2 linked regions of the Arabidopsis thaliana genome follow. The protein of the gene in region 1 interacts with the protein of each later gene in a pairwise test. Each region holds a gene or a part of one and is shown in the gene's direction. Other genes may lie near its edges.

What was found.
Region 2: the proteins of CIPK22 (region 1) and ERF73 interact in a two-hybrid assay, tested with the Arabidopsis thaliana proteins (2 studies listed by BioGRID).

Annotation. Positions count from the first base shown.
Region 1 is NC_003071.7:16,113,276-16,117,065, reverse strand, and holds CIPK22 (CBL-interacting Serine/Threonine-kinase), read left to right. Parts: upstream 1-1,861; coding exon 1,862-3,157; downstream 3,158-3,790.
Region 2 is NC_003070.9:27,239,693-27,243,468, forward strand, and holds ERF73 (Integrase-type DNA-binding superfamily protein), read left to right. Parts: upstream 1-2,003; 5' UTR 2,004-2,211; coding exon 2,212-2,398; exon of another isoform or gene 2,399-2,449; coding exon of another isoform or gene 2,450-2,483; coding exon 2,484-3,085; 3' UTR 3,086-3,276; downstream 3,277-3,776. Other genes in the region: AT1G72350 (MADS-box transcription factor family protein), read right to left, coding at 1-255; P40 (40s ribosomal protein SA), read right to left, coding at 3,456-3,526, 3,603-3,776. UniProt on the Arabidopsis thaliana protein: Transcriptional activator involved in the hypoxic stress response. Acts as a transcriptional activator via the cis-acting element GCC box.

The DNA of each region.
Region 1 (3,790 bases):
TAATAACATTTTTAAAGAAATCACACAATATATGACGATGCGTGAGAAAGAAGAAACGTCTTAAATTAAGAGTGAGGGTGGGTGTACGGACGATGTCGATGGCTGACGTACACCATCACGGTGGTAAAGACGGTGTCTCTTTGAAGTAGATGTCTTTATTCTTGATGACGATAACAATGAGAAGATCAATATTCAATAATAAAGCAATGGTGATGTATTTGTTTTTCAAAAGAATTGATGTTTTTAAATGGATCGATATAGCACATAAATAAGTTGACTTGGCGGTTGGGCATTATATTCGATGTGATGATTCGATGGTTGGTTTTTCCGGTTGGGTATGACTCCACAATGACGCCCGGATGTCATAGTCTAAATGACTGTGTGACCGTACGATAAAATCGAGATAACTTTTGAAGTTTGGTTGGGTATTACTGCCGACTGTTAGGTGTTAATTTTCATTCAGATAAAGTCAATAAACTAAAAGGCAAATAGATAGTAAATACCGTTACGAAAGCTAACACCTACATATTGGAACACATGAATGAATGAGCAAGAGTTGTTTTCTTTATTCGTTTTACTTTGTCGAGTTTTTGCTTTTGCATATTTCCTAATTCTTTTTTTAGAGGTTTCTTGTTTTTGGTCAAAAATTTACAGGTTTATGATAATGTTTTGAACAAGTTCACGTGTAAGGATTAATTTTTTGGCTTTTTCAACAACAAAAGGGGTACTAGTATGATTTTAATCCACACACGAATGACTTGGATCCACGAATCCAACTTCAAATTAATTATAAGAAAAACTTAATTTGCCCATCATTAATCCTTAGATAACAAAATTTCCAGCTATTAAAAAGTAATTATTATATGTGGCATTGAATTTCAAACAACATTCAAATTTAAATGTTATTATTTTGTCACTCAAATTTAAAGGTTATTTATTGACTGGATAATGTTCTTGGTTTGATTGGGTTGCTACGGTTGGATGCGGTTAAAGACCAACAATTTCATCAGAATTAAGGATGGTTGATTTGTACCCACGATATAACATTCGTGTCTAAACATCTTTACATGCACATGCAATGTTGCGAGATATAGTTCACATAAAATTTGGTCCGGTTCACTTGTCTTGATTTGGTTGTACACTTCTACCTGATGAATATATATTCTTATGTTTTAAGAACCAAATCATATCCTCAGAACTAAAGTACCATCTTAACCGGTAAAGAAGCTTAAAACATCGTCATGTATACTGCTTAGCATTCTATACAAAGTAACGTCAATCCACGTTGTTTTTTTCTTTCACATTATTCAAATATTTTTATATAGACGTTCTTTTTATTTTTGATAAAGTTTTTATTTTTGTCAACGATGAACGTTTAAAAAAAAAAAATATGTCGAGTTTTCCCAGCTCCTACAAAAACAAATAAATTAAGACTTTAAATCCCACCTGGAATTAGAAGGTTTTGGTTGACCTGACAAGGCAGATGTTTGGTAACAACAACATGAACCACACATTGGGGAAAGAATCATGAAAATTCCTTGAATCGTAAATTATTTCAGGAGAAAATGACTCTATCTCTAACCTGGTTGATATATCGCAACTAATTCAAATTAGTAAAAATCGAAAATGTTATCGCATTTTGAAATTGTCTTTTGTGAAGATTGTTTCTTTCATTTATTTGTTTAATGCATTTTATAATAAAGTCAAACTATTTTAAAATCTTTGTTTAAAATAATAGCTTACTTACGTGGCAAGTTGAGGAATTTCAATAAGAAGAGGCACCGCGCGCATGTCTTTTACAATTCCTAGACTGTTTCTCTTTACTCTGTTTTTTTGCTCTGTTTTTTTTGTTTGTTTGTTAATGGCCGAAGACTCTAATTCTTCCGAATCAATCATTGTTAACGTCACCGGAGATGATAATAAGTCGGCTTTGTTCGGTAAGTACGATCTCGGTAAGCTCCTCGGTAGCGGCGCGTTTGCCAAAGTCTACCAAGCGGAGGATCTTCAAAACGGCGGCGAAAGCGTTGCGATCAAAGTCGTACAAAAAAAACGTTTGAAAGACGGTTTAACGGCGCACGTTAAGAGAGAAATATCTGTCATGCGCCGCCTCCGTCATCCTCATATCGTGCTCCTCTCCGAAGTCCTCGCCACAAAGACGAAGATCTACTTCGTCATGGAGCTAGCCAAAGGTGGTGAGCTCTTCTCAAGAGTCACCAGCAACCGTTTCACAGAGAGTCTTAGCCGGAAATATTTCCGGCAATTGATCTCCGCCGTGAGATACTGCCACGCAAGAGGAGTTTTCCACCGTGATTTGAAGCCGGAGAATCTCCTCCTCGACGAGAATCGAGATCTGAAGGTTTCAGACTTCGGTCTCAGTGCGATGAAGGAGCAGATCCACCCCGACGGAATGCTACATACGCTCTGTGGAACTCCGGCTTACGTAGCACCGGAGCTTCTTTTGAAGAAAGGCTACGACGGTTCTAAAGCTGATATTTGGTCATGCGGCGTCGTTTTGTTTCTTCTCAACGCAGGCTACTTGCCGTTTCGTGATCCAAACATCATGGGACTCTACCGGAAAATCCACAAGGCTCAATACAAGTTACCGGATTGGACATCTTCAGATCTGCGGAAACTCCTCCGCCGTCTCTTGGAGCCAAATCCGGAACTGCGAATCACCGTGGAGGAGATTCTAAAGGATCCGTGGTTCAATCATGGAGTAGATCCAAGCGAAATCATCGGAATCCAAGCCGATGATTACGATCTGGAAGAAAACGGTAAAATTCTAAACGCGTTCGATTTGATTTCTTCGGCGTCGAGCTCGAATCTCTCCGGTTTGTTTGGAAATTTCGTGACGCCGGATCATTGCGACCAGTTTGTATCCGATGAGAGTACGGCCGTTATTATGAGGAAGGTCGAGGAAGTTGCGAAGCAGTTAAATTTGAGAATCGCGAAGAAGAAGGAGAGAGCGATAAAGCTTGAAGGTCCACATGGAGTAGCTAATGTCGTCGTTAAAGTTCGCCGGCTAACAAATGAACTAGTGATGGTGGAGATGAAGAACAAGCAAAGAGACGTGGGCTTGGTTTGGGCCGATGCTCTTAGACAAAAGTTACGTCGTTTGATTAACCAACCGGTTTATAAAGTTCCTGACAAACCGTAAAACGGTTTCAACACTAAACCAACAATCCGTGCGTTTTACTTTTAGAATTTTCAACGTACTACACTCGGGATCGAGACGCATTGTGGTTAACCGGTTCGGTTTACATTGGAGCAGGGAGAGTAATGGGACGATCCGCCTCTTTGTATATAAAAATGACAAGAAGAAAGAAAAAAACAAACCGGGATTCAATTATTTTTGTTTATTTATTTTCGGAGTATAATTTAAACACAAAAATTATTTGCTTTATTCATCGGAGAGAATTTGAATAAAACTCTGATTTGAACTTTGTAGCCTTTTATGTGTGACCGTGTGTGTTTGCAAACTTGGGCCTTATTTTGCGCTAAGGGACATGCTACACCGTTTGTAATATTTATCGTTGTTGATTTTGTTTGGCAATCGTACGAAGTATTTCAGGATCTTTTATGTATGAATGTTTATTTGAGTTTGTATTAAAAACATATATATGAATGTTACAGATTAACGAATAGTTGTCACTGCTGATTACCACTTGGCAATTCCGTTAAAACATGATTGGTATATATAACCGTACAAGTCTATAAGATAGATCACAAAATTCTAGCCAAAGCATCAATGTTTTATTTGTTTTGGGGAGTTTGTGGTCCAATGCTAATT
Region 2 (3,776 bases), on another chromosome or scaffold:
ACCAATCTGTGCGCCGCAGAGAACGCTTAATTCTGCCGCTTTTTTGAAAAGCCCGGATCGTCGTTTGGAAAACGTCACTTGCCTTCGGGTCTCCAGCATGATCTCCTTGATCTCTATCTTCTGTCGACCTTTGGTGGTTTTAGGTTTTTTTTGTTTAGTCTCTTTTTTTGGTTTGGCCAGCAAGTTAGGGTTTTGTAGGGGTTTTGGTTCCGTGGTTGGTAAGAAAGTGATTGTTGAAGCTTCCCCATCCTCCATATTGAAGACAAGAAGAACAAGAGATTTTTGTGAGAGATTACAAGGGTTCTTTGGGAGAAATATTCCGAATTATATTTATATTCATAGTTTTGAACCATATAAGGAATTATTGTCTCATCATAATATATGCTAATTGTGGTATTAAATGCGCGTCTCAATAAGTTAACATGATATTTGGAATGATTCCATAAACAATCAACATTAACTTTTTTTAATCTAAGTTTCGTGACATTATTTCAAAGATTTACGAGATATACTTACTCCTTTCTTTTCTTTTTGGACAAACAAGATGCTTACTCCTCTCTATTTTACATTTTTGTTATATATAAAATATAAAAAAAAACTAATGATGATGCTAATATATGTGGGTCTCATATACGAATAATATATGATCAAATCAAATATATATATATGCATATGAGCATATGGATGTTAATGTTATTGTCAAAGAAAACACTGGCCTTAGTATAGTTGAAATTACAAAGTATAGTTGCCACATGAAAGGTTCCTCGTGGCCATTGCGAATATTTAATTCCTTTAAAATTATTTTATTCTTTTCCATTTAATATATCAATTAGTCTTTAATTAATTAACCACTCCACAAAGGTTCAAAGTAAGGTTGATAGATTAGTTTAGATTTGAAAAATGGTTAGTGGAGAAAACCACGGGTTCATTAGTCAGTATTAGAGACTGCTTATGGTTTCAAATTAAAAGCTATACCCCTAAAGGTAGGATAACAACTACTATTACAAATTAATTAATTTTTGTTAAATCTATATATACATTTTTGCAGCCATTTTGTTAAATAAATCCTGTAGTTGAGATTTATTTACAATGGTTGTCACTGGATTTTAATGTTTGTTTTTGATAATTAAAAAGAAAATCTTCGAATTAAATATTTGACATTTAACAATCTTCCCAAAATCTCTCCACATTAACTACACGATTATTTACTAAAATAATACTTCTAAAATATTTAATATCATTTAATTACTACAAAATTATCATTTTTGATATTGCTTTTCTCCATGACTATAACAATTCGATTATAATCATCAAAGCGCAGAGATATAATCTGATAGCATTTAATTACTACAAAATTACAAAATATTTAGACAATGATTCATAAACATATCATAAATAAGATCAACATTAATAAAATAAATGGGTTTATTTTTACAGGACGGGTTTGGAAGGACGTTACTTAATAACATTTGTAAACTATAAAATAAAATTATTTTATAGATAAATACAATTTATAAACTTTTATATATACTAACTTTAAAAAATAAATTATTCCCGCGATATACCGCGGGTTAAAATCTAGTGTATATATCAAGTTGTAGCAAAACCAGCTGTTGGTATAGTTTTTTCATTAAAGTTGTTCCATAAAGGTTTTAACTAATCACCGTGACGACTAAACACATTGGTTAAAAGTTAAAACCCATGTCGATTTATTGACTCTTGAAAGGTGAATAAGCCAACCATTACTATAGGTATAGGTTTTTATTTTTATTTATCTTATGCCAAAAATCCAAAACGACTAGTATGACGCAGTAAACTGGGTAGATATAAGAATCATGGTCATTAAAACTCAAATATACGATTCACTTAATGTAAGATATGATTAAAGATAAGAATGGATTAACCCCCAAGTAAAGCGATAAGATCGAATATATTAAGTTCATAAACTCAGCTAAATGCAGATCATTACAGACAGTGGCGAAATCATTTAAAAAGGGATTAACCTATGATGAGGATAAAATGGTAAAATTAACAAAGCCCACTTGGCCCAATTGTCGTTCCGAAGAACACGCCTTGTCGCTCTGCGTATAAGAGTGTGCTCAGGCAAAAATGAAAGAACAAAAACACAGAGACACCTTTAAAATTGAGAAATTTTACTTTTTAGCCCAAAACTTTTAAAACTTATACTTTGAACCCTTTAGTTCTGAGAAAATGTGCGGAGGAGCTGTAATTTCCGATTACATAGCGCCGGAGAAGATTGCGAGATCATCTGGAAAGTCTTCCTGGAGAAGTAATGGCGTCTTTGACTGCTCAATCTACGATTTCGATGGAAATTTCGATGAATTAGAGTCCGATGAGCCATTTGTCTTCTCCTCTACTCACAAACATCATGCTTCAGGTGAGTTACGATTCTGTTTTCTGATGTTTTGTATGTTCATCGTTTGGTTCTATGTCTCAAAGCTTTGAACTTTATCCATGGCTAGGCTCAGCATCAGATGGGAAGAAGAAACAGAGCAGTCGGTACAAAGGAATCAGAAGAAGGCCTTGGGGAAGATGGGCGGCTGAGATACGTGATCCAATCAAAGGAGTTCGAGTTTGGCTCGGGACTTTCAACACAGCTGAAGAAGCTGCAAGAGCTTATGATCTTGAAGCTAAGAGAATCCGTGGAGCCAAAGCTAAGCTCAATTTCCCTAACGAATCCTCTGGAAAGAGGAAAGCCAAGGCTAAGACTGTGCAACAGGTAGAGGAGAATCATGAGGCTGATCTTGATGTGGCGGTGGTAAGCTCAGCGCCTAGTAGTAGCTGTCTTGATTTCTTGTGGGAGGAGAATAATCCGGACACGCTTCTGATTGATACACAATGGCTCGAAGATATCATCATGGGCGATGCGAATAAGAAACATGAACCTAATGATAGTGAAGAAGCCAACAACGTTGATGCTTCTCTGCTTTCTGAAGAGCTTCTTGCTTTTGAGAACCAGACCGAATATTTCTCGCAGATGCCTTTTACGGAGGGAAACTGTGATTCCTCAACGTCTCTGAGTAGTCTCTTTGATGGAGGCAATGACATGGGTCTATGGTCCTGAACGGTTCTATTGTACAAATGACATGAGTGTTTTAAATGAGTTCTTCTTCGACTTGTCTGTTTGCTATTTATTCTTCAAACCTTAGCCAGTGTCAAACAAAAACGGCCACTACGACTATTGTTTTGAAGATTGCGATATTTTAAGTTGTAAGAATGTAGAGAATAATGTTTGGGAAGAACAAAGCTCGATTCATATTTGTGATAAACGCAAAATATAGATTCGATTCAAACAAAAAGGTGCAAAACATCTAAGGGTCTTAAGAGAAACAAGTGAGAAGAAAAAACAGTTACGGTTCGATAACTCTTCAATCCCAAAAGTAACAAAAAAGCATGTCTATAACCATTAAACCATTGAGTAAAGGCTATCAACTTTACTCCCAACCAGCAGCTGGTGCCCCTGAGGGTGGCGCGGCAGCTTCCCATCCACCATCTGCCGGTGCAGCTAGAACAGCAAAATAAACATAACATTAGAATCAAGATCTGTTAGAATAGGGTTCAAATGGTTATCAAAAACTCACCAGCGGAATCACTCCAAGAAGCAGCAGCAGGTGCAGCAGAGATTGGTGCCTGACCTTCTCCTGGCCATGCAGCATCAGGGATCTGAGCGGTGGTCCATTGGTCTCCACCTACCATTCCATATTCTGGAGCAGGAAGTGCACCATATTCTGCCTGAGGGCCAGCTTCATCTTCAT